Linked DNA regions of Danio rerio. The protein of the gene in region 5 interacts with the protein of the main gene of each other region in a pairwise test. Links are inferred from orthologs where the notes say so. Each region holds a gene or a part of one and is shown on either strand. Other genes may lie near its edges. The genes, in order: rbfox1, sf1, sybu, vstm2la, atxn1a, mettl17 and zc3h10.

Region 1 (4,060 bases), on a different chromosome or scaffold from region 5:
GAAATTCATTATGGTTAGTAATTTTAACTAAACCACAGTGAACAGAGGCATTTTGTTTATGTTTGTAAGGCTGATCTCTACAGCACGATCTCGAAGTGCTGCCATGTCCACTTATTATAAATGATGTTCCAGTTTAAAATAATGATTGCAGTGCACACTTCTATATATTTTAGTCTTATTTATTAATATGATAAAGAATTTTAGTTTATGTTCATGGACTTACTCTTATTCCTGTTGTTTTTTTTTGTTTTTTTTTTTTCCTTTTTTTTATCAAGGAAGATCTGGCAACACTCATGAGTCAAGCCATACCACATGCTGTACCTTTATTTCTAAAATAATATCTAAATTTAGATTTACAGTAGTGTATATGGCCACTGACATCACATGGTCCACATTTATAGCAGTTTTACTGTACTTTTAACTGTGCTGTACCTTTTTAAATGGAGAGTTTACCCAGAAATGAAAATGAACTCACTGTTTACTCACCCTAAAGTGGTTCCAAACCTTTCTCTGTACTGTTTAACAGTTTCAGCTTTCTTCACATTGTCTTTTTCTTCTGTTTAACAGAAGAAAGAAACTCCTAAAGGTTTGAATCACGCAAAGGTTGAGTAAATTATGACAAAATTTTCTTTTTTTTTTTTTAGGTGAACTATCCCTTCAAGGCTTGACAGCTGCTATTCCCATTCACTGCTCTAACAACTGAACATGTTGCTGCTAATCATCAAGATTATGTTCAAGTTTCACGTTTTCTCATTTAATTAATGGTTAAAACAGCCACAAGACTGACGACTGAAGTGCTTTATAGCATCATAAAACTAAAAATACAAAAAGATGGTGAGAATAAAGAAACACATATAAGGCATAAAACTGACAAAAATAAATTCCCAATAGGCCAATGAAAACAAGTGGGTACACTGTAAAAAGCAATTAGTTGACTTTACTTTAAATAATTAAGTAAACCCATTGCCTTAAAGGTTTGAGGAAGATGATTAAAAAAATCAAGTAAGTGAATGTAAAACCACAGAATTACAAGAATTACAAGAATTTTCAAGCAAAATCCACTTGTCACTTTTAAGGCAATGGATTTACTCCCTTTTTTGATGAGTTCACTTTTTACAGTCTTTTAAAATTTACGTTTCAAATCTCATCACTCATTACTTTTTGATTTAATGGCTAATTGGTATGATCACATTTTAATATGACTTGCTCATCCCCTTTTAAGGGGTAGATTTAGGGATTTAGGACGTGAAATCCTACAAATTCATACAAACTAACCACTTCTCTGACAACACATAAAATAGTTACTTTCCTTTAGACATCAGGCCGGAAAAAATGCACACATTGTAAGTCGCTTTGGATGAAAGTGTTTGTCAAAAGTGTAAATCCGAGTGCTGCGACGAGCAGCCAAGACGTTTTCCAAAAATTCACCTTTTGGATTCCTCCCAAGTCAGCTTGGGAATGACATGTAAATAATGACAGGATTTTCATTCTTGGCAAGTTGAGAACGAGTCGAGGAGAGCCAGGAGGGAAGCCGCAACTTGCTACTCTGTAAATGGGACCTTGTAAAAAAAAATCCCTGCTGTTCCTTAAGCAGATGTTACACACATCACGCTGTTTCCCATTAACACCATCAGCACTTTGCGTAACACATTGATATTCAAGAGCGGGCACACCATGCCATAATTAGACTATCATTTGATCAGGAGTGCTAAACTCTTTATGCACAAGTGTCAGAAACGTTAAAGGGAGGGTGGAAGGAAAGTCAGCAAAAAAGACAGAGGTGCCTCGGCGGTGTGGGAAGCCCCTGCCGGTGCAAGTCAACTGGGAGGCTCTACATTTGTGGTCATAATAGTCAAGAGAGGTTTTTTTTTTTTTGGAGGCCCTCGTAAAATAGCTGTTGGCAAACACTGAGAGAAAAAAAAAAATAAAAAGGAATGGCAGACAGTCAGGCTTAGCTAAATGCTTTGGCCTCCACCCTAATGAGAACCACATTTGGAGGACTGAAATATGTTTTACGTGGCAGCGCGCTGGATTCATCACTTCACTGCGCTCAGCTTCCAGGCAAACACTTACCAAACACACGCAGCTTTGTTTTGGTAAAGGGCTTTTTACAACACTTTGCAAACATAATTTCACACACAACCAGTCCTACGCCTCCCTCGCTCTAAATTTCGCAAACGGTCGCGATGAGTTCAAGCGCATGCTGATGCCTTAAAAATGATGGAAAGCCAGGTGGAGCGCAGAGGCACTAAAACGGTGTACGTTTCGGAGCGCTTGTGTTTGGCCAAATAAAGCGTTTGAAGAGCAGCCCGACAAACTCTCTCGCTCCATCTCTCAGGGTGGATGACGGAACCCGGCTCATTTAAATGATCGTGCCTGCCAACATTTGTGAGTTTAGCCATTTGGATCGACCCGAAATGAAGCTTGGAGATGGAAAACCAGCAAGGAAAAAGAAGGTACGAGGAGAAGAGATAGAAAGCAAAACAGCTGCTGATAAGGCAGCCTGAAAAAGAGTTGCTGAAGGGGGCTCCCTCTTTCTTCAAAGCGCACGCTCTCACTCTTTCTCTCTCTCACACACACACGCATACGCACACACTCAAATGCTGTCATACACAAGCCGCCCCGCTCTACTGTGCAGCCGCAGCACAAAAGCAAGACGGGCAGGAGGAGGAAAAAAAAATGCAGTAATGCGCTTGGTAAGCAGAATAACAGGAGAAAAAAAAATACCTGTTCCACCATCTTGCTCCCTTTTTCCTCCATAAACTAAGCAGCTGCCTTAGTCCCAATCCCTGCAGCATCTGCCTAAAGCAAGCATCAATTATAGATGAGGGTGTGTGTTCGGCGCTGTGTGTGTAGCGAGTGAGTGTGTGAGTATGTGAGTGGGAGGGAAGGGAGGGGTGGAGAAGGAGGAGGGAACTAATGCAAGTGAAAGCTGGGCTCCAAAATTTCTCTCTCTCTCTCTTTCTGTTCATAACTAATGTGTGAGCCTCTGAAACGCTAGGCCGTTTGGTGAGCTCGAGAAGTACATTTAATTCAGAGTTGTGATGTATAGATTGTGAAATGTGAAATGATGTGAAAGCTGCCCTTGTTGTTTGTGAATGTGCGGCTTAAGGGATTGTACTGCTTCATGAACTTGGGAAAATAAACAATTAATTCTGGTGTTTCTTTTTTTTTTTAAAGATATAAGGAACCTGGAATATATATAATAAATCAATGTGTGAATGTATGAATGAATAAACTAATACAAATTTATAGTAATTTAAAAATAGAAAAATCTAATATTTATAAATCAGTTATAGAATAAAAAAAGTAAAAAAAAATGTACATATGCTGTTACAGTAAAAATAAAAGAAAATAACAAATTTAGATTTGCTCTAAAGCCTAGAAATCTAAAATATAATCAACACAAAAGAATGATGATGATGATAATGATGATGATAATAATAATAATAATAATAATAATACACTGTAAAAACTCAACATTCAACTTTATGAAATGAAATGAGTGTATTATCATTTACTACGGATTAAGTCACAGTACTCATTAGGATTAGTTTTTGAACTTAAATGGTTTGTTGCAATTGGTTTCCTAAAATGGTTTGAGTTACCTTAACCTTTCGGGTTTTACAGTGTAATACTACTACTATTACTACTACTACTAATAATAATAATATTAATTACTATTATTATTTATTTTTGGGGTAGTATCAGAGGAGACCTGCATAAAGTTTATAAAATCAAGTGATTTTTCTAAACGTGTTTAAAACAAATGGAATTTTTAAATTAAAAAATTATAATTTTTGCGACGCATTGGCGCAGTAGGTAGTGCTGACCAAGAAGGTCCTCACACCAAGAAGGTCGCTGGGTCGCTGGTTTGAGCCTCAGCTGGGTCAGTTCAGTTGGCGTTTCTGTGTGGAGTTTGCATGTTCTCCCTGCGTTCACGTGAGTTTCCTTCGTGTGCTCCGGTTTTCCCCACAGTCCAATGATATGTGGTACAGGTGAATTGTGTAGGCTAAATTGTCTGTAGTGTATGAGTGTGTGTGTGTGTGTGTGTGTGTGT
Region 2 (3,500 bases), on a different chromosome or scaffold from region 5:
TGCGTTGCGCTATCAGTTTTTTAACTTGGGAGTCTCTAGCTCAAAGACACACTACTCACCGTGGCCCAATTAAAAGCCCAACAAAGTTGATCTCTGGATATTCATCCTGAGGAATCATCACCTTATCACTGACCCGTGTTGCCGGTGGTCTGAGAAATAAGAAAAACAATTAAACTACCTGACACGACAGAGCTAAAGAGGTTTACACACACAAAAACAACACTTCTAGTAGCCATACTTGTAGTCAGCTGGAGGTTTGAATTCAGGGTTCAGTCCCACCATCTCTGTAATGAGAGAATGTCTCTCTTCTTCCAGTTTCTTGCGCGTGCGATATTCACGTGTGTTAAGCCGCTTTCCCTCGCTGTTGTAAATGGGCTCAGGAGATGGAGACCTGAGGAAAGGAAAGAACAGAAAGATGCAACGGCGTCAAAATGCAAAACCTGTAATGGTTATCAACAGCTAAACATTCAATGACTTGCCTATTCTGACTGAGATGTGTTTGACTAATTTGGAGGTCATTTAAAAAGTGCATGGGATGCCCCAGAGTGCTCACGTTCTAGTGACAAAAACGAGACGAACAAAAAAAATAACGCACCCTAGAAAACTATATTGAACCATTAGGAAGGGAAAAAAGTTCAGATTAAAAAGTCAGAGAAGTCAGCAGCTTCTATTAAAAAAAACGGTTGCAAAATTTGGGTCTCAAGTTATATTTAAGCATAACTAAAATGGGTTTGTCTCAATTTTTCTGCAGGATGAACAACAGGACAAAATCTGAGACAAACGGGGCAACCAACACACTTGAGCGCCTGTTCTTGAACGCTGATCTAACTCATCACATGCTCTCAAAGAGCATCCCAAATGTTACCTTTCCCTTGGACGGTGCTGAAAACCTGTTAACCTGCACAATGAGGCTCTGTGTTTGAAAAAAGTTACGAGACTGGGAATTTGGGTTAGAGAAATAAATTTGGATTAAATGTTAACCTTCAACAGCTCTCAAACAGTACAGCCACACAAACGTGACAAGTTCATGAGAGGTAACCCGAAGAGGAGAAAAGAGGGTTGGGGGGAGAGAGAAAAGAATGCTCTGCTGGTTTTCTTTTGGGCTGATATCTCCAGCGCTGACAACTTGAAGCACCTCCAGCTTTGTTTTTGGCGAGCTGGAAGTTGATGAGCAATCGTTCCTAAATCCTGGAGTGGATAGACCTTTAAGAAGAGTTGGCGGTGTAAAAACGTCGGATTAAGATTCTGCCGGAGAACCTAAGGCTGTTCAGAGAGCAAGGGATGTGGCTACTAAAAAGACACTCTTACGTCAGAAACATGACATTCCTGCTATGTTGGATGCTTATGAAGTCTATGAGTGGCCAAAGTGATCAAAGTGTTAAGGTTAAGGTTATTCCAGAAAGAAAAGTTCAGAGGAGACTCCTCCGAGCGGTCTTCCAGTGCGGAAATCTGGAATACTGTGGAAGTTCCTGGACAAAATGGTGGTAGCCCCATTATGGAAAACCATTATTGACCATCCAATTAACCAACCATTCAGATTTTTTAATTTAAGGACTTTAATGTGTTTAAGACTGGATTTCGGAGGTTAGAAAAAAAGGGCAGTAATGTAATATATAATCTAATAAAAAATTAATACTTTCAAAAACTTAAATAATGACCGAACCTACTATCTTCAACTACAGCAACTACACTGGGAGAATCAATTAAACTACTGCAGCATTTCTAATAATACACAAGTATCATAGCACATGAAAAAGCATGCAATTAAATATCTACAAAAACAGTTCAGAATAAAAGTAAACAAGATTTACTTTGGACAATCAAAAGAATTGTTGGTTTTATGCCTACACGTTTTGATGGGTCGAGTTAATCATCACTCTGTTAAGATATGTTCTGCAAGACAACTTAATTTCAAAAGCATGTAACACTGGCTAGCCAATGAAAGTCAGATTTTTTTGTATGACAATGTCCTACAATAATAGCCTTTATTCTAATCTTTGCCTCCACATACAAAACAGATCAGATGTTTTTTAAAGGGCCATGAAAAAAATACTACACAACAGTAATAGTTTGATTAAGGTGTTTGCATTCGGAGCAGCATTTTACAGCAGATCTTTTAGTCCTTAATATTGTAGTAACTTCGTAACTAAAACATTTTGACTAAGGTATGTCTTCAAAAAAATAAGAGTACTGCTGATGATACTAACTAACTTTGCCATCTGAATAAACAAACAAAGAACATTGACTGCACACTTACTAAACCTGTAAACATCAAAACTGGAACCAGGTCTTTTTTTCTTTTTTTTTTTAAAAGATGAGTGGCAAATCTAGATTCGTCAATTCATCATTTTCGAAAAGCTCTCGTTTAAAAAAAAAAAAAAAAAAAAAAAAAGTCCCTTACAAACATTTTTGTCGCATGTTAGCAAACCACTGTAATCCACACATGTGGGTCCACATGCGAGCTGTGCTCTCATCACAGGGAAATGGAAACAAAACCTGTTGCGGCACATTTATAAATGCAACACTTACAACTCACGTCTCATAACAATTCTTCTACTTGTTTGAATTATGATTGGCAACACAACATGGTATCTCTCTAAACATTGTAACAGGTAAAAGGGGGCTTCGAAGCTATATCATGCATATTAATGAAGTTGCATCTTGTTTATATTAGAGCACGCTGAATAAAAACTCAATTGTGTCACTTTGTACCAACTGGTACAGACAGCCAATCTCCACGCTGGAATTTACATAATGATCTCATCGCTGTGATGTTGCTACAAAATTTCTCCTTTCAACCCAGGAGAATGAATTTGCTCTAAACAATGCAAAAACAACCAATTTTCATTTTTTAGCTAAATTAATGTGTCCTAATAGCGTTTTTAGCAACGCGAGACACCTATATAACTATCAAGATCTCAAAAAATGTGTTTTGGCATTTCGTGACCCTTTAAAAATACAAAAAGTGTTTAAAACACTGAAAAGTTTAGGTTTGTAATACAATCTATTTAATTACAATAAAAGAACTTTCAAAACTCTTCAATTAAGAGGCAAAGATATGATGTCAGTTAAAAGCAAGGCATTTAAACTTATTTCTGTCACTTAATTACTTACCCCTACATAGACACTAGTACACTTACGAACTGGGCTCACTTAAATTGGCGCATTGAAAAGGTAAAGAAAATGTTACTGTTGGTGGGTTTAAATCGTTATTCCGACCTGTCCTCAGGGTTAACAGGGATTCCCAGGTCTCCTGTACGCAGTTTACGTGTCAGGTCTTCAATCTGCAGTTGGACTGGAAGAAATCAGGTTAGGAAAGAAAAAAAAACAAGGATGGAGAAAAATGTGGTTAACAACAAAAAGACCCCACAAAACCAGAATCAGTACACTGTAAAACTCAATGTGACTAGGGTTAAGCAACAAACAAAAAATTACCATGGTAAATTGACAGTTCACTAAGAATCAAGGTCAAGTAAAGACATTTGATCCTCTGTAGTATT
Region 3 (3,242 bases), on a different chromosome or scaffold from region 5:
GTATATAGTCACATGTCTTGTGTTTTCTATAGTTTTTGGGTGAACTCTGCACGTTTGCTGTAAATAATTTGGGCATTCTGCGTTATTTACACTGTACAACGATAATTTGCTTATGTTTGTGTGTTTGAATTGACTTTGTATGCAACTTACTTGCCCAAATTCTTAATTCCATGTTTCGTGTGAACACAACATAAGCTTTCATCACTGCCTCATGACTCTGCAAGTTCTTAACATTACATCACAGTGCATTTTTGCATTTACAGTTGTCACTTTTTATTCACGGGAGTTATGTTCTAAATATAGCCCGCAATGGGCAACCTGTAAAGTTATTATAGATGTTTTAAGGCTGTAAAACCCCTCACTACACCTTTTATACACTTTTTCTTAGACCGACAATAAAATTTTCACACTTTTCACTCTTGTTTAAGCACTCTCAAAGTTCAAACTTTCATAGAAAAATAAGTCCAGTTAATAGAATGCACATGATAGTTGGAAGTAACACAAACTGGACGCGCATATTCGCATGTTATTTAAAATGAAATTATTCAGATGGCACTTTGTGGCATGACAAAAATATGAACAGTGTACTGAGTCGTAGCTGGGCACCACAGACAGTCCCCGACTTGCAGCGCCGGTGTGTGTACCTTGATATAAACCCATGTTTACAATTTTAAAATGCATGGCATTGTGTGGCGTGGCACATCCGGTATGGCCCCATCGAAGATTTGTTAATTTAGTGAACTAGGCACATTTTGTACTGTACAGAAGATACAGAGAAGATTGATTGACAATGATCTACAGCCAATCCGGACGCAGAACACAATGCGTTGTAAAAAAAAAAAAAAAACGCATGTCAAATTGTACAGAAAAAATCCACGAAATGGCAAGGCCACAAAACTTGAACTGCATCATGGCGAGTGATCACTGTACATGTGAACTTTATTATTATTTTTTTTTTAATATAGAAAAAATACCCATGTATGTATGGCCATTGCCTAAATATGAATCATTCTGAATTTCCTCATCAATTGTTTTAATTTGACTGGTTACAGGGAGTCTGAGATTGAGGAACTGAAATCTCAACTGGGACGTATGAGGGAGGACTGGATAGAGGAGGAATGTCACCGTGTTGAAGCTCAGCTGGCTCTTAAAGAAGCCCGCAAAGAGATCAAACAGCTGCGCCAAGTGGTGGAAACCATGAAGAACAGCCTGATGGAGAAGGACAAAGGCATACAGAAGTACTTCATTGATATAAACATCCAAAACCGGAAGCTGGAGTCCTTGCTCCACAGCATGGAGTTGGCGCAAAATGGATGCAACTTGCAAGATGAGCCGACGCTGGATTTTATCTGCGAGGCTCCAGAAAGTTCTACCGAGGCGAAGATGGAGCTGGAGCTACATTGTGGGGAGCAAGCAGTGGAAGAAATGGCGAATAGTGAGCTGCTCATCAATGATGAGATGGTCAACAGAGTAGAGATTCTCATGTCAACCGCAGTCGATTCCAGCCAAGATGGAAGCACCAAGATCATCTCCCAACCAGGACTTTCCTGCTTGGAGCCGAGTGTTTCAGAAAAGAGCACCAAAGAGCATGTCTCAAGCATTCCAATTGGTGCAGAAGATAAAGGTATTCAGACTGATGATGTGATCTACAGCACTGATCTCCAAACACTGCTTTACCAACTGCTAAAGCTCCAGGGTGGGGGATTTCCAGGCCTCCTCGTTCCTTCTCCCAACCAATCCCATGATATCTCTTCAGCACAGGCTCCCAAAAAGTCACAAAAGGAGGAGTTACCTGAAGCACACGAGCAAGATGTTGCCATCAGCACTGCCCAAATTATTCCCAGTGATTCTGGTTTGGGTTTTTCCGAGCCTGAAGTGGGTCCAGAGTTTATGGAGGAGATGAATTCGAAGAACAAGGCAGTGGTTGGGAAGAACCACTGGAGCAACAACTTCTTTGTGGATTTGGTTGCTGTTGCTGCACCCGTCCTGCCCACCGTGGCTTGGCTTTATTCGCAGCATGGTTTGGTGGGAGGGGCTCCGGTCTACAACATAGCTTCATTGATTCGAGGCTGTTGTGTTATGGGATTGCACTCGCTCCGTCATGTGTCTCACGGGCCGGACACTTAGCGGCCCTCACCTACTTCTACAACAAGAGCACTTAAATCTTCATCTTCAAGTATAAATCGTGTTTTGTACACTCGTGATTTGATATGCATAGTTTCTGTTTAGCTGCATCATTCCTATTTGCACTGTATTTTTGCCACAAAGGATGAATTCAAGGGGATATCAAGGGACTTGTTTTGTCTTATTTCTGTTATTTATTGACCTTTTTGTTTGTTTATTTATAAATATTTTTGCATAATCTGATCATCTTGGTAGGTGGTTATGTTGCTCGAGTCTTATTTGCTGACTGCGATTCCCTGCTTTTTATAAAAGAGTCAATAGGGGTTGACTGTCAGTTAGTTGCGACTTTTTTTTTGTTGTTGTTGTATAGTTAAAGCATCACTAGTGTTCCAAAAGAACTGAAACCTTCTGCCAAAGCTTCAATGTGTTCAGCGTTTTGTGTTAAGTGAAACTGTGTTTCTCTCCTTTGGAGTTTAGAGCTATTATGTGTTTCCTGAAAAGCAACACTTGCCACAGTACAGCGAACACTTGTTATGTGCCTGAGCTATGTGCAATATTTTTGTTAATATGATATGTATATCATTATATTTATTATTAAAGCATGGAAAACCCCTTCAAGAGTGGACTTTTTGTTTTGTGTGGGAGGTGCTTGTCTTATGTCTGTTTCCACTGAGTGGTATGGTTCGGTATGCTTTTATGGCCGTACCACTTTTTGGGTACCCTATGCGAAGGGTACCTACCACAACAAAAGGGTACCAAAAAGCGGAGCTAGACACGCAACTGGACGCTATTTGTTTGGAGATGCATCGTTCGCTCGTGCAACAAGCCAGAATGATAAAGGAACTGCCATGTTTCAAATACACAGCTGATACATTACACCGTAATAATACATACAGAAAATAACGAGACATGGTAGACCTGAGTTCAAACAAACCTTGACGTCGTCTTGATAAACAGCTACAAAGCCAAGAAGAAGAGCAGAATTCACCCTGTGCCCCGTCGTTTTTTTACAAGGCCGTCTAGAGGTTTCGCTTTCTAGTGTGCACTCGTTGCGTGTCTATACTTAAAATAACAAACTTCTTGATCTGATAATAATAACGTATGCATGATTATTGAAG
Region 4 (3,939 bases), on a different chromosome or scaffold from region 5:
TGAACAATGCATTCGCCATCAAGATGCTACAATGATGAATTAAAAATGAGATCTCTTGAAATGCACATAATTGTTCCTTCTGTGAGGAAAACAATAGAAAGGGACTATTTGATTAAACAAATCTCAAGTGCGTCAAAAAATAGCTACTATTAAAGCAATGCAGATTAGCACCATGGCAAAACCCCCAAAAATATCAATATTTAGTAAAAGGCTGTATTTAATTGTGATTATTTCGTACTGATATCACCATCTGGGGTAAAAAGTAACAGCAAAATTCAACCATGTTTCACTGACAAGACTATATAGAGCAACACCATGGTACAAAAACTAAATAAGCACCTTAAATATAGTAATCATTTAATATAGTTCACATAAAAGAACCAGACACGGTACTTTTAACAACATCAATAGAGCATTAGTATGGCCATCAATCAAAAAAGTGTAAAAATACCACAATTTACAGACCATCATTGACCAAAAATATAATTTTACATTCGATTTCTGGACAGTACTGTGATATACAGGGTTTCACACTATTCATTTGTGCTGTCCCAACACAAATCCATTAAGTTAATGTAATAAATACAGGTGGATTGAACTTAAAATAATTAAGTTGTCCAAAAAAGAAAATCAAGAATTGTGTTGTTTCAGCTCATTTTAAATAATCCGTTTTAACAAGCAGCAAAAATGAGTTGTTTTTAGTGTATATGGTTTAAAAGCTATAAAATACTGTGATTTGGAATCTACAGTATTTTGAGGTGCTCAGGTACTTGGGTTTGTACCTCTTAAAGTAACTTGTCGGGAAAAAAAGCTTGTCAGAAGGAAAAACTGATCAGCTTATCTTGTCAATTGTGTCATAAATTTTTCAAAAAGCAAATAAAAAAACATATTTTGGGAGTCTAAAAACCCTGAGTGTGATGAAGACTAGAAGAACATGGTCAAAATGAGTCTAAATCAAGATATAAACGCAAATCATATTCCTGCATAGGTAGGTTTGTGTCTTTTTATGTAAATCATCTGATGAAGCTAAGGAATACCACAGTAAAGCTTACGCCATGGTATTTTGGATATAAATGGGGACATCTAAATTGATCCACATTTAAAACTATTATTATATACAGTTGAAGTCAGAATTATTAGCGCCTCTTTGAATTTTCTTTTTTCGTTTTCAAGGTGTGTCTGATAATATATTTTTCTTTTGGAGAAAGTCTTATTTGTTTTATTTCGGCGAGAAAAAAACCCAAACATTTTACGGACAATATTATTAGCCCCTTTGAGCTCATTTGTTTTCTCGATAGTCTACAAAATAAACCATCGTTAAACAATAACTTGCCTAATTACCCTAACCTGCCTAGTTAACCTAACTACCTTAGTCAAGCCTTTAAATGTCACTTTAAGCTGTATAGAAGTGTCTTAAAAATATCTAGTCAAATATTATTTACTGTCATAATGACAAAGATAAAATAAATCAGTTGTTAGAACTATTATGTTTAGAAATGTGTTGAAAAAAAAAAACAAATTCAGTTAAACAGAAATTGGGGAGAAAAATAAACAGGGGGGCTAATAATTCTGACTTCAACTGTATGATGTTTCAGTGGTAACGATTTAACCATGGTAGTACTATTACACTAATAGAAATACTAATAGTATTTCAATTGATTATTTTAAGTATCTAAAAGTGGGTACTTTGATGCGTGTTTAACACTATACAACCCGGTACCATTAATGACAGTATGCTATTGAAAAATGAACGATTAAACTATTAAACTGGGTGAATCTCACCAAAAAACATGGCTTGTCAGAAAGAAAAAGCAACTACTGTATTTTGCAAGTGATTTAAGCATCATGACAATATTTTGTAGAAGGGGTATTTCGGATATTTTTGATAAGAAGAGGTATTTGATAGTTATCTTTAGCATAATTGTTTTCACATGGTGCAATCTATTATCAAATCATCAATCATTTTACAAAAAAAGCTAACTAAACAACCACATTTCGAGAGTCCAAAAGCATAGACTATAAAAGAATGATTCAGAAAGCAAATAAAATCAATGTTTAGGTTCGTGTATTACTATAAAACAGTATTTATAATATCACCATAAAGCTTGCACAATGTTATTGTAGGATATAAAAGGCTCCATTAGATTGATCCACACTCTAAATCATGTCTTTAACACTAGTAATTTAACATATTCTGTTAAATATCTTAAATTGGGTACATTGGTTTGTGTTAATCACAATACCACCTGAAACCAATGACGGCAAAACCTTTGCATTCCTTGAAGTACTGGTATAGGACATAAAGTACTTTTGAAATACCATGATTTCACCGTCAAATGTCATGTTTCACCTGTAAATAAGCTCAGTGCAGTTGTGTGCTCTGCTGTATATATGTATATATTGGTGATGAACTGCTCTGCGCATCTCCATCATTGTGCAGTTTGCGCGCGGATCGCTTCCCAGTTTCACCCGTACACCGACCACAAACCCGTGAATGTGAACCGGAAAATCTTACCGTTGCTGGATATGTGGTTCTCCACATCATCGCCCCCAGGTTGTCTGACACTGGCACTAAGTTGGATGTAGAGTCCCATACAATGTAAACTCCTCAGAATCACTCCAAACGCGCCCATCACTGCTCCCTGCAAAACACTCTCTCACATCAGGTGAAAATATACGGCTTTAGGAGATAGATCCAGGTGTTGGGCAGTGTTTAATGTTTGGTTTTGTCCCTTAAGGCGAAGGTAGGAGATGCTGAGAGGAGGCTGCGTGCGTTTGCAGTCGCCCACTGATGCGATTTGATTCTCCGCGAAGAGAAACTCCCGGATCTAACCAGCGCGGCGGAGGGATACGTAGTGTGGGAGCGGGAGCGCGCTGGCTGTCATTGGGGAATTTCAATTAGGCGGAATAACATTGTGAAGAGATTTTTTTCAGTTAACGGTCAACGCTCGACGGTCGCCGTGGGTGGAAGGAAAATTACATCTGAAATGCTTCTGAGGTAAATATAACCGGTGACTGTGAATGTAGGCGGTTTTATTTCACTCAACAAGTATGAAATATGGATGGCAGCAGAATTAGATTATTACTAATAATTCTAGTTTGATTGGGCTTGGCTTTTTTCCCCTTCAGTGAACTCCTATACCATTTTAATTGAATGTACATATTGTTTCGAACGGCACTATTATTATTATTATTAACTGTAATAGCTATTATATTTTAAATATTTTAGTATTTTCATCTTAATAAATGTTAATCAATGATCCAGTACTCTATAGCGTATTAAGGAGGCTATAGTGAACTGATAAACTACTGTTTTATACTTTAGTTTTTACTACAGTAAATGGTTTACTAAAGTATGTTGTTTATATGGTTGTAAAAAACTACAGTATTGAGTCACTTATTTATATAACTATAATTGTTGTGTTACAACAGCATCTATAGGCTGAATGTTGAGTGTAGAAATCTAAAATTCAAGTTCTTACACTGAATGAGTAGAAGAAAAAAGGAAAAATACATTACCTCTAGGCGTTTCACCATGCTGGAAATGGAGGGTAAGGTCAAGCACATTGCACTGATACATTTTTCAGCTCTTTTAGTGCTTTGAGTGCATACCAAGTGGCAAACGAAGAAAAAAAAGTAACATTATTCATGCTGCATAAAGTACTATAGTAGTTAGCCATCCTGAAGAAAGAAAAAATGGTTTAAACTACAGATGTAAAACTCGTATAAAATTTATTTGCATCCATAACATAGTTCTATAGTTTTGCCAATGACTGGTGACCAGAAAATGCAGTGGCTATATATTATATATGCATAAATTCTACCATGTTGCCAGGTATTGCTAGAGTTCATACATCAAACCAAAATTATGTCAACTGGTGAGTAAAACGACTTCATATTACTTTTATGATGCTAATATGAATAATTAAACATATTTTG
Region 5 (3,500 bases):
ACTCGTTAAAAATGCTAATTTCAGAGATGGCAAGAAACAAACGGAAGTTATGGTTCATAAAGATTGGCAATATATAATATATGGAGGACAATATAATTGCTGTACACACACCTAAAACTTAGGCAAAGGTCAACTCCATTAGATTTTTTTTTTAATAATAAACCCTTTACTACCACGTGCAGACATGGTACACAGTGTTTGATTAATATCACATAGTCATCAATCTCAAGTTTATTTCCCCGCTTATCTTTGTGCATAAGAAAAACAGATACTCAGATGTGTCTACAAGCAGCAATGTTAAATAGAAAACTTATGAACCCACCTGTGAGCGTTGCGCTCCTACAGCAAACTGTATTATAGCAAAGTTAGCTGTATGACTGCTGTCGATGCGCTCTACAGTGCTGGAATCAATCTTCAGCTCGTTGCTAATCTCAGCACTCTGAATGAAATCCTCTGTTTTCAGGTCTTCCACCCGCTTCAGTTCCCCATCTGCCAATTGGATGATGGAGCCCTTGGTGAAGTAGGGTGGCATTGAAGGAGCTGAGGGTGGGGGTGGAGTTGTCAGCAGGCCAGCAGGTGCTGGAACCACAGGCAAATGCAACTGGGCTTGAACCATAGCTGTGGCAGGGTGGGGGTATGGAGCCGGAGATTCAAAAGTTTCCACTTTGGGGGCTGTTGAGGTGACGAAAGCATGGGGCAGTGCAGCAGTTGATGTAGCGGTAGCTTCAGTTCCACTTACTGGGATGATGACCGGCTGAGTTCCAGGGATGACCAAGTGCTGGGGTAAGGTGGTGTGGTAGCTGAGAGGCTGCTGGTGCCCTGTGCCGGCAAAGTAACCAATGATAGGCTGCTGGGTGGAGTAGAAATTAGTGGAGGGGAGGCTTAGAGAGAGTGACTCTGTGCTGTTAAGTGTGGTCTGAATGACTGCATGAGGAGACTGCGCTGGAACTGCTCCCTTAAGATTGTCCACAGGTGGAGGGGGAAGAGCAAATGAAAGGGAGGAAGATAAGGAGGAACTGCGGGAGACAGGTTTGCCAGCACAAATCCCTCCTTTTTCATGGTGGGATGTCGAGGGAGGCAGCTTGTCTGATGCACCTCCAGAATCAGCACTAGTGGAGCTATGATTATTAGGTACCAGCACCAATGAGGTCCTCATGGCTGTGCTGTCCTGCGTGTACTCGGCAGGTAGCACAACATGTCGAGCTTCAAAGTGACGTGGGCTCTGCTGCTGGTGGATCTGGTGCTGCTGGGCAGAGGAACCCCCTTTGGCAGTGCTGCCCTGCTTCCCTGCACTGGACTCAGAAGATGGACCAAAACGTCTGTCCTTCTCCAGCTCTCCATTCAGCAACTCCCTGGTCCTCATCTCCTCCCTCTTGGGTAAAAGACTTTCTGTGTATGGGACTAAGACCTGTGAAGGGCCACTAAGGGGAAGTGTGTGGTGAGGATGTAAATGTAGGGGCAAGTGTGTATGCGGTGACGAAACAGTTCGAGGGGATATGCTTAGTGGAGAACCAGCAATTTGAACATATTGAGTGGAGTGAGGTGAAGAGGTGTTGTCAGTTGTGACCAGGCCTTGAGGACGGCCCAATTGGTGGTGCTGATCAATTTTGGATGCTGGAGAACTGGAGGAGCTGGCATAAATCTCACGTTGTGTGGTAGTGGTGGCAGCTAAAGGGGGAGCTAGTGGAGAGATGTAGCCAGCGTATGGTGCAGAGTAAGGAGGGTTGATGAAGTGTATATTGTGAGGGAGGGGTGTGTACTGGATTGCGCTAGGAGAATGGGAGAGAGGTGATGTGTACACTGCAGGTATGGTGGTCACTGCAGATAGAGCTCTGGTTGAGTGTGTGGACGAGGAAGGTGTGCTCTCAGCCGTGGCTGACAATGGTTTATATTGAGGCCCATCTGATTCTGCAGACGTGCTGGTGTGCAGCCGGCCTTTGTCATGCCCACTGGCCAGACTGGCAAGCCAAGCCAGGTTCCCTCCACGCTGGCTCTCATTGGCAGGCGCCATCACCATGGGCTTCTCCTCTGAGGGCAGAGTGCTTGCTGGGATTTCACGCTTCTTTGGGGGCAGGCATTCATTGCTCCGCTCCTGGTTTGACTTCATGGTGTCTGAAAATCTTGAACCACTCTTTCCGGATTTTTCTTTCCCCTTTTTTGGCTCTTTTCCTCTCCCTCCTGGTCTCCGTTTGTCTTGCTAACAGAGTGTGCCCTCCTACTGATTGGCTTGGAGCGAGTATGGGAATGGGGTAGAGAGGAGAGTGGTGGTGAGAGGGGATGTGTCCTGTGCCTATGGTCGGATTGACACAGATTTCAGTCTTAAGCAATTGAAGTCACACCTGCTGCGGGAGAGCGGTCCATGCAATTCATGTGGAATCATTTCCTTCCGAGAGAGAGTCTCCAGGACTGCAGGAAGAACCTGAAATATAATAAAGAAACATAATCAGGTTTAATGCACAAACATAATTTCAGCAGCTTTTAGATGATAAAGCCATGTAAACTGAAGAAAATGAGAAACCAAAAAATGAAGGCTGTAAATATTTTGTGCATCAGGATTTATTTCTATGCCACAGTGGTGCTGAATGGACAAATAGCTTGCAGTCGTTTACAGAGGACTATCTTAACAGCAGCTCAACAAATATTTATTGTAAAATAACATGCCTCAACAAACTGATAAATGCATAAGTATATTAGGAAAGTTAGAACTGTCTCTCTATATTGGATGTTAAGTTAAAAATTGTCCATCAAATAAGAAAGCTAGCACAGTTTCTTTTTCCTCTTCCTCCTACTCTAGATTGTATGGGGAGACACGTGACAAAACAATGATGCTGTGCAGTGTTACGGCTTGTTTGACATTCCTCCCTGAGCTCTATTGATTGGACCCATTCAGCTGCGTCTGTTGTCCAGCACTAGTGGGAGGATGGTTTTGCATGATAAACAGGCCCAGATGATTTAACAAGTGTCGCAGTGCTATAAAAGAGGAGGCAGATACCGATGTAAGCGAAACCCTCCCTTTAATTTGGACACTACTAAAAATAGCATAAAGTACCACCAAACAGTACTACCTAATTTTTTGGACATGTACCATGGTACTGAGACTTATGCAAGTATCTTTGTATTACTATATGATGCCAAGACTGTACTACAACTGTTTGGACATGTTAAAACAATGCTTCTTTAGACATGGTACTATTATAATATTCTTTGAAGTAGCGTATGTACCACAAGGAAATAATATATATATACTAACACTAAAAGGAAATACTAATACATAGTAGAGGTTGTGTTTAGGTTCACAAAGGTAATACCATCTCTTAAAGTAGACACAGCAGTCCTTAGCTGAATACAAACAGCAGGAGAATGTCCTCTGTGTTTGCTCTTAAGTCAAAGTAGAGTAGAATGGTTACACAACGACTGAACATCAGTGATTGACGGCTATTGATGCTGAGCAGGGTGTTTATTCTCAGCACTCTCTCAATCAGTGTTTCCTGCTTCTTTTT
Region 6 (4,234 bases), on a different chromosome or scaffold from region 5:
ACCACAGTGTTGACATTTCTCCATTTTGTCTTTTATCAATAACTCACTTTCACTGACATTTCTCTCTTCCTCCAAAAATTTCCTCTCCAGAATGATGGCTTTCTCCCTGAGCTGTGAAGATTCTATCACCCGCTTCCTGCTCCAAAGGAAGTTAGAGAGTTTTTGTGCCCTTTCCGTCAGACTTTTTACATCGGCCCCTACATATCAAATAAAAAGCATATAAAACACACTACTTTAGCATGTCAATTCAGAAAACATAATCTTTAATACTGAGGCTGGCAGATCATTGGTTCCTCACTCTGTAAGATGGACTGTGCTGCTAGCTGCAGTTGCTCTGGCAGTTGCACTGTTTTCAGGTTTGTAACACCCGGGTGTTTTCTGTGAGGAGCGCCATTCAGGTAGTCGGCCTGTTCCAGAGGTGCTGCGGAACTCTGACACTTTCAAGACAATGAGAAGCACATTTGACTTATTCAGTATCACATAATTCTGATAATTTTTTTTGAATAATGGTTAGTGGTTGAAGGGTATCTTTTTGGCAGAATTACAGCCAGGTAGTTCTGGCTATAGCATTTGTTGTTCCTTATATGGAAGTTAATGGGTACCGGGTTTCAACATTCTTCAAATTATCTTTTTTGTGTTAAATAAGAAACAAGGATGAGTATATACATTTTATATATTAAATACATTTTATGATTCTGTTATATTGCTACTATGTGCAGTCTAATAAAATGCAAGGCATATTAAGCATCTTTGGTGTTTTTCTATAGGTGAAGTTTTTTCCTTGCTGCTGTCGCCACTGGCTTGCATGGTTCGGGACCTGTGGAGTTGGGCATCGATGGATTTGCTCTTCAGTGTTTGAACTCTCAGCAGTGAAAATTAAACCACACTGAACTGAACTAAACTAAACTTCAACAATGAAAACTGGACTGACACTGTTTCAATTCACTAGAAAGCTGCTTTGACACAATCTACACTGTAAAAGCGCTATAGAAATAAAGATGAATTGAGTTAAATTATAAAACGACTGAAAATCGAGGGTGAATGATGTCATTAGCATGTGTCACTAGTTAAAATTGCTTATTTTTAGAATGAGTTGAACATTCCTCAAAACACTGGAAATACTGTAAGTGTAAAAGTCAGCAAAAAATATAACACTTTTCTAGTGAAATTAAATAAAGATCTTACATATTTTGTCATTAAAGATTATTAGTATCATTTGTAAAGAAATATGGTTTTATTCATACTTTCATTAGTTTTCATTTTACTATAAATTTTATGTAAAGTTTTAACTTTACATAAAAAAACTTTTCACTACAACTGCTCTTTTAGGAAAAGAGCAATAGCAGTGCTTAAATTAGTGTTTCTAACTGCTTTAAAGAAAGTGCTTTTATAGATATGCCTGCCATTATCTTTTTTTATCATGCAAGGAAGAAAATTTACAAAGATACAATATGAACAAAGAGACAAAAACGGTTACATAAATAAAATTCCAGCAAATTAAGCAAGTTAAAATGATTTACACTAAGAGTTTTACTGGCAATATAATTATTAGAGTATTTCACAGAGTTTACAAATAAATCCTTTCTAAAATTAAACAGGGTGTTTCTTAGAAAATGTAAATTTGTGGATGTAAAATTTTGCCAAAAAAAATAAATAAATCATGAGATAATAAATAATACATTTACAATAAGAGGGATCTAAGTTCAGAGAGTAGGAATAGAAAGAATACTAGAATACTAGAAATACTAGAAATATTTTTGGGGAAATATAAAAGTTTTGAAATAAGAATTTCTTTTGATGTAATTGGAAGTCAACCCAAAACACTTTACAGTAAATCCACTCCCAAAATAAATGACTTAGTGTTTCATCATATTGAGTACAAAATGAGTATGTATGGGAAATATTGTTATTAAATTTGACAAATTTGGTATTTATTGGGTAGCAATTATGCCTGGCATTTATCATCAAGTAGCCAGGCCACATTCATTACCAATCACAAATTTAACCAATCACTGCAGAGCAATGAACACATTCTCGTTCTCAAAACATTTGATAGTGTTTAAACCATTCATACAATACATTTAGTTGACAAAAAACATTTTCTCAGGTAATAATTAAGGTCACACAAATATATTAATTACAAATGATTAACAAACTAAATAAATTATTAGTATATTTCTCACCATCATCGAAACGAATAGCCCTGATCACGCCCTATATATATCAGACTATCCTCACTTGAATCTTCAGCGAAAGGAAGCTCACTGTAGAGGTCACTTACTGAGTGCTCGTCACTCGCCAACACCTCGGGGAAGGTCTGAGACAGGAGCTCCTCGCTGACCTAGCAGGACATCATCTGAATGATGAGCGAGTGCACAGAAAATCGGGTCACGCGCGCGACTCTCGCAGCAGACGTTGATGCTCGCACACATTCAGCGGATCAACTGAATGACGCGCGCAGACTTGGAAACACTCGCGGCTGGCGAATGAGTGCGATGTGTGAGCTAGCATAACATGCTAGAACCCAATTCAGACTACTCTCCCTCCGCTCTTTTCACATCATTTATTACTAAGAATGACATGGAAGTTTGACTGACATATTACTCACCCGGATCGCTTCTTTCAAAGACAAAGCCACATGGCACCTTGAACATTTCACAAACACTCGACTTCCCAGTAAATGCATGCTTTATTCTCGTTTATTAAAACCTGCGTACAAATGAAATTCTACTTTAAAGACAACACAACATGGTAACATCGGTGTACGGACGCATGCTCAAGCAGTCGTTTTACCGACTTCAAAATAAATCCGTGTAGAAACAAATCGGTCAATTCGTTCCTAGACAGGAGTCCGCTCTGTTATACTTTTCGCGCCATTTAAAACGCCCCAGTTGTGCTCTGTGATCTGAGGTAAGTGTTGAAAACTATTTTAATCTTATCATTATTTACATTTTAGCGGGATAAAGCGTAATGTTATCCTATATTTTGTTCTCCGAAACGTGTTTTGCCGCAAGACTCCGGGCTAACGTTAACTTACGTTATTAGGAAGTGAATACATCACTATGGTGACTCATGTCATAATTCACCACCTCCTAACTACATAACTAGGAATTTTACGTCACACCCATACCTTCACTGCTAACGTGTGATACACCGGAAACGTTTCCTCTTTTGACGTTTTCTCCTAATTTTAGCTGTTTTCCGGGAACATGCGACGAACAAGGAGTTGCAGGGACAAGTCTGTGGCAGATTCAGGCAGTGAAGCTTCAGAGGCGAAGACGGGTATGAATTCGCTTTCTCTGAACATGCCAAAACAACCCAAAGTTACACAATCAGCATTTTAAGACTTTTTGTCATACACTGAAGCTCTGCACATTTACATTGACTGCTTTTCCAAGTAAATATATATATATATATAAATGTACACCACAGCCACCCCAGCATGACTGTTTTAACCATTAAATCACTTTGAGTTTATAGATGTGACAGTCCCCTGGAAGAATTTTAATATGTAGAATCATTGACTGTGTGTTTTGTTTGTTTTTTGTGTGTTTTTTTGTTTGTTTGTTTATCAAGAAACCTATTTGTATATTAAGTAGTGAATATGTATTACCGATGTTGCCATGAATATAGCCAGTGTTGCTGATAAGCCATTAAAACATTAATAAATAATATGTTTGCACTGTTTTCATTTCAGATTTGCATATTTTTACATTATGAATGATTATGAACTATGAATGTTTTTAGTTTGGCAGTGGAAAGGGGATGAAGATGAATGGGAACCGTATCCTTCAGAGGTCTGCGAACAGCTGGATGCAGCAAAGCAGGCTGGTGAAAAGTCTGTTTCGCTTGCGCTCGGACCTGGTTACGTAGTGGATCTTGTGAAAATGACTCAGACTAATACTGTCAGCAAGTACAAACGAAAAATACGCCTTCAGAAAGTGAAGTCAGGTACGTCTGCGTGCTTCTGTATGTGACTGAATAAGCCTCTGGGTCAGGAAACTAACAGCAGCTGATTTGTTTTATTGCAGAAGATCTGAATGAAGGGAATGCTTTGAATGGTAATAAAAAAGCAACAGGTGTTGTTCAGATTAAAGAAGAAAAAGAGGAGGAAGAGGAGCAGCCCGTTTCCAAGAAGAGACGCAATGAAGGGAGGAGTCAGAAAGCGAACAAAGACAAACCTGTGGTAAAAGAAGAATGTGAAGGTGATGCTTCCCTCGAATTAATTTTAGCA
Region 7 (4,192 bases), on a different chromosome or scaffold from region 5:
TTTCATTTAGGAACACTCCTGAGATAAATAAGTTATATCTCCGTACTTAATTAATAAATTTATATGAACTGCTGCGCTTCCCACCTCCTTATTCAACCGCAATGACTTCTTGGACTTCTCGAGCGAGTTTTGCACTCAAGTATGCATCGACGCATCCTCGATGTCAAAAACACAGCCGGGAACTTTCTCGCGTCCTCTGTTTTACAGTCTTGAGTATAGGGTATATGGCGAAGCATGCTAATAGGACTTTCAATTTGCCAGTAACCTGGGTTAAGCGTTTCAGGCGAATTGTATGCCAATGCAAAAACTGGCGCGTTTAAGGTCTGTCATCTTTAAAATCAGCGATCTCCACTAGCTAAGTAATATCTGACATAAAGTGGGTCTCAGATTGTACAAGAAGCACTGCATTAAATGACATTTTACCCCGCCATGTCTTTATAATATGAGCATTTATTTTACCCCAGTATATTCAATGGAGCTTCTGCGCTAGCCTGCCGATTCTGACAGGCGCGTGCGAATAAACGACTTTGTCTCGTTTTGCGCTTGAGCAACTAAATGAATGCCAAAGTTTATTTAACTGAATGTATTTCAATGACATTACAACATTAATGCTGTGAAAGGAGCCGTATAAAATGGAAGAAAGTTCACAATAACAGGTCACCGGAAGTTCATCAATATGGGAAAAACACTAGATAGGCATATACCCTATTAGAACTGAACTTTGGCAGTTGATTATGACTTACACGAGAACACAAGATCACTGAAGAACACACATTGAGAAACAGCCATACTCAGCAGGACACCAGCCTGATATAATTAGGCATGGGCCGGTATAAGATTCTGACCATATGATTACCTTGGATAATCATATCACGTTTTCACAGTATAGTGATTACTGTTGTAAAATATTGTCTTTTTAAATGCCTGGGTAAAAAAAAATAAAACTTTTTTTCCTTTTGAACACACTATAATTTATTTTGAGAAACCTTTATAATATTTTGGAACAGTAAATGTGTCAGGCTACAAAAATTATTGACTTCTTCCGTCTTTTGTTTCAGTTTTTGTACAAATGAAAACAGCATCTTTTCTGCTGGAGATACTGTTGTCCTAAAATCAAACAAAAAATGTAAATAAAAAGTCTTACACATACCTTAGGAACGGCATTGCAGAAACTTTTGAAACCTTAACTTTTTCAAACTGCGGTATACTTTGAAAACGGTTATCATCCCATGCCTAGATATAATATATATAAATGTTCATACTTTTTTTGTATTAAAAAGTTCAAAGATTTAAGATGCTGATGATCATTAAACTGTCTTGTGAAAAGGATCAATAGCTTCCAAATTAATAATAAAAAAACCTAGTCAGAAATAAACAGAAGAAGAATTATTTGAGAATATATTAAAGGATAAGGATCTTAAGGATAACAACTTTTAAGGATAACAACGCAGCACCAAAACACTAAACACTTGTTATTGTAAATGTTAATAATTTCCCACAATCCTATTCCAAATGCATTTTGCAAGATACTTGTAAATTGAACTTCATTCATTTTCTTGTCGGCTTAGTCCCTTTAGTAACCCGGGGTCGCCACAGCGGAATGAACCGCCAACTTGCCCAGCAAGTTTTTATGCAGCGGATGGCCTTCCAACCGCAACCCATCTCTGGGAAACATCCACACACACATTCTCACACACACACACACACACACAATCATACACTTCAGACAATTTAGCCTACCCAATTCACCTGTACCGCATGTCTTTGGACTGTGGGGGAAACCGGAGCACCCGGAGAAAACCCACCCGAAGGCAGGGAGAACATGCAAACTCCACACAGAAACGCCAACTGAGCCGAGGTTCGAACCAGCGATCTTCTTGCTGTGAGGCGACAGCACTACCTACTGCGCCACTGCCTCGCCCTATATTGAACTTTAAAGGAGTTAATAAATCAATATTTGGTATTTTTTATTTAATTTTGGTGAACTGACACTGTTTCAATTCACTATAATCTTCTATGTGAAGCTACTTTGACACAATCTGCATTGTAAAAAAAAGCTCTAGAAATAAAGATGAATTGAATTGAATAAAAAAAAAAAAAAATCAATAACCCCGTTTTTATTGACCTTAAAAAAATGTTGGCTATTCTCAAAAAAAAAAAAAACACTTGAAATGACTCACAATAAGCTAAAAATTTGTTTGTTTGTTTTTTTAGAAATTGGGAGAAACAACAGCCTTTTATAGAACAAATAAGATATTAGCATTCAACTCGAATCCATACCTAATGATTGCAGTAAACCGAGAAAGACTGGCAATCCTTTGTTATTATAGCCAAATAAATTCAAATATACTTAGCTGTAGCAGTGTGTACATATAATATCAATATAGTATGTAATAATTTTAATAACTACATTTTATTTTAATGTTTTCCCCCAACCTCTTGTCGTACCTGATATATTAAACGTGTATATCTTTATAAACAACCATTGTGACTGTTTGTTTACTAGCAGTGTGTTGTCATGTCAAATCTATGAGGCGCCAAATACTTCAACAGCACATTGCGGCATATACTCAATGTGAATGAACAACCAAGTGTGTTGTCCGATAAGTAAACAAACATTGTTGGTGACATTATTTCGTTAAGTTTGCAGTATATCCACACTCAGCTAATGAAGTAATGTTAAAACACGCAGTCTACTTCCAGGCACAAAGGCCCGGATAACGCGGGTAACGTTAGACAAGACACAAAGACGCGAAGCTAAACCATTACCATTAATAACTTACCCGCTCCACAAACCCGGTCGAACCAACGAAGTTGAATAAACTGAACAACATTACTAGCTAAACGGAGCATGTGTCAACAGTGCGAGTGCTAACATTATAGCACAAGTTGCTCTATGAATGACCCCTTTTCTTTTTCGAAGCACTACCGGTGCAGCACTTCACGGGGAAAATGAACGTCAAAATAAAAGTCCTCAAGTCAGGGTAAACGTGCAACAAAATAGAGATGTTGCTAGTACATGGATGTGACATGGTACATCCGTATTTTTCTAAAAATTATGGTAAAAAAACGGGATGTTGCGAAGGAAATGTTAATAATAATGTGTTATTTGTTTACATGTGCTCTTATTGACACTGAACATACATTAGAAACATCTAGTATACTCAGAAACAGTACAGTACAAGATTTCATTCTCAGAAAAAGTTGGCATGTCTGTTTTCACTTGAAGAGATACAATAAACATCCTTTTATGCTGCTTTAAAAAATTAAATATCTGATCCTTAACAATAAATGTATAATAATAATAATAATAATAATAATAATAATAATAATAAACCTCTAAGGAGTAAAATCCATTACTTCACACAAAAATGTATTGGAACAACAGATATCTGGACAGAATTAGGAGTTTGGGATTAAAATAAATTTTCCAATGATGTAATTTTCCAACTTTAATATACATAAACTACTGCACAAGATTTCAGCATTTAATTCACATACAAGAGCCAATAATTCACTACAGCATGAGGGTTGTCAATAGTTTATTTTTTACATTAATGAGAACATCAGACATCAATGTTCATTTCCAATAATCTTATAAAGATTCAGTTGTCGACCAGGAATGCAGTGGGCACAGAACCTGGAAGAAAAAGAAAAGAAGGTGGTTTTACATCAAGCAAATCAACATTGGTGAACAGATCAAAACAGATATACTCTTACAGATTAGCATCACCAATGTATGACGTGTTTTCTGTAATTAATATTATGTACTAATTTCCTTTCAATAAAAATGAATGGTTTGGAAGAGATACTGAATTGAGATTTCTGGAAGTTCAATTAAAATAAACACCTTTGAATTGAAACGGAGCACTAAAAAATCCAGAATAAGTATTTTAAATCCACTAGATATGATAGGAATATGGTTAAAACTAGTGGTGTAATTGATCACAAATTTCACGGTTCGGACTACATTATGGTTTAGTCACCGATATGACCATTTTTCAGATCAGCCAAAAAGGGAAGGAGACAAATGTAATTTGCTTTCCATTTATTACCAAAACAGCACTGCAAGACAGCTTTGGTTTTAACAAACAGAACTTAGAAGCTTTAATTTTATCAAAGAAAAAAGAAATAATCAGCTGGAGAAAATAAACTAAAATATTCTGTACTTTGAACAGTTCACTATTACTCC

The links.
Region 1: the proteins of atxn1a (region 5) and rbfox1 interact in binary tests that used the Homo sapiens proteins (3 or more experiments, as listed by UniProt). The link is inferred for Danio rerio from reciprocal best matches to the Homo sapiens genes ATXN1 and RBFOX1.
Region 2: the proteins of atxn1a (region 5) and sf1 interact in binary tests that used the Homo sapiens proteins (3 or more experiments, as listed by UniProt). The link is inferred for Danio rerio from reciprocal best matches to the Homo sapiens genes ATXN1 and SF1.
Region 3: the proteins of atxn1a (region 5) and sybu interact in binary tests that used the Homo sapiens proteins (3 or more experiments, as listed by UniProt). The link is inferred for Danio rerio from reciprocal best matches to the Homo sapiens genes ATXN1 and SYBU.
Region 4: the proteins of atxn1a (region 5) and vstm2la interact in binary tests that used the Homo sapiens proteins (3 or more experiments, as listed by UniProt). The link is inferred for Danio rerio from reciprocal best matches to the Homo sapiens genes ATXN1 and VSTM2L.
Region 6: the proteins of atxn1a (region 5) and mettl17 interact in binary tests that used the Homo sapiens proteins (3 or more experiments, as listed by UniProt). The link is inferred for Danio rerio from reciprocal best matches to the Homo sapiens genes ATXN1 and METTL17.
Region 7: the proteins of atxn1a (region 5) and zc3h10 interact in binary tests that used the Homo sapiens proteins (3 or more experiments, as listed by UniProt). The link is inferred for Danio rerio from reciprocal best matches to the Homo sapiens genes ATXN1 and ZC3H10.

Annotation. Positions count from the first base shown.
Region 1 is NC_133178.1:26,815,796-26,819,855, forward strand, and holds the start of rbfox1 (RNA binding protein fox-1 homolog 1), read right to left. Parts: upstream 2,801-4,060; 5' UTR 2,761-2,800; coding exon 2,728-2,760; intron 1-2,727. UniProt on the Homo sapiens protein: RNA-binding protein that regulates alternative splicing events by binding to 5'-UGCAUGU-3' elements. Regulates alternative splicing of tissue-specific exons and of differentially spliced exons during erythropoiesis.
Region 2 is NC_133182.1:22,792,832-22,796,331, reverse strand, and holds part of sf1 (splicing factor 1), read right to left. Parts: intron 3,296-3,500; coding exon 3,220-3,295; intron 392-3,219; coding exon 239-391; intron 150-238; coding exon 60-149; intron 1-59. UniProt on the Homo sapiens protein: Necessary for the ATP-dependent first step of spliceosome assembly. Binds to the intron branch point sequence (BPS) 5'-UACUAAC-3' of the pre-mRNA. May act as transcription repressor.
Region 3 is NC_133191.1:43,582,123-43,585,364, forward strand, and holds the end of sybu (syntabulin), read left to right. Parts: intron 1-1,052; coding exon 1,053-2,127; 3' UTR 2,128-2,742; downstream 2,743-3,242. UniProt on the Homo sapiens protein: Part of a kinesin motor-adapter complex that is critical for the anterograde axonal transport of active zone components and contributes to activity-dependent presynaptic assembly during neuronal development.
Region 4 is NC_133198.1:46,996,155-47,000,093, forward strand, and holds the start of vstm2la (V-set and transmembrane domain-containing protein 2-like protein), read right to left. Parts: upstream 2,801-3,939; 5' UTR 2,634-2,800; coding exon 2,516-2,633; intron 1-2,515.
Region 5 is NC_133194.1:34,917,448-34,920,947, reverse strand, and holds part of atxn1a (ataxin-1a), read right to left. Parts: intron 2,420-3,500; 5' UTR 2,108-2,419; coding exon 323-2,107; intron 1-322. UniProt on the Homo sapiens protein: Chromatin-binding factor that repress Notch signaling in the absence of Notch intracellular domain by acting as a CBF1 corepressor. Binds to the HEY promoter and might assist, along with NCOR2, RBPJ-mediated repression. Binds RNA in vitro.
Region 6 is NC_133177.1:40,857,928-40,862,161, forward strand, and holds the start of mettl17 (ribosome assembly protein METTL17, mitochondrial), read right to left. Parts: upstream 2,801-4,234; 5' UTR 2,687-2,800; coding exon 2,609-2,686; exon of another isoform or gene 2,190-2,608; coding exon of another isoform or gene 2,184-2,189; intron 438-2,183; coding exon 299-437; intron 198-298; coding exon 48-197; intron 1-47. Other genes in the region: parp2 (poly [ADP-ribose] polymerase 2), read left to right, coding at 3,210-3,282, 3,748-3,951, 4,032-4,205. UniProt on the Homo sapiens protein: Mitochondrial ribosome (mitoribosome) assembly factor. Binds at the interface of the head and body domains of the mitochondrial small ribosomal subunit (mt-SSU), occluding the mRNA channel and preventing compaction of the head domain towards the body.
Region 7 is NC_133181.1:54,969,596-54,973,787, reverse strand, and holds the start of zc3h10 (zinc finger CCCH domain-containing protein 10), read right to left. Parts: upstream 2,801-4,192; 5' UTR 2,784-2,800; intron 1,583-2,783; exon of another isoform or gene 1-1,582. UniProt on the Homo sapiens protein: Specific regulator of miRNA biogenesis. Binds, via the C3H1-type zinc finger domains, to the binding motif 5'-GCAGCGC-3' on microRNA pri-MIR143 and negatively regulates the processing to mature microRNA.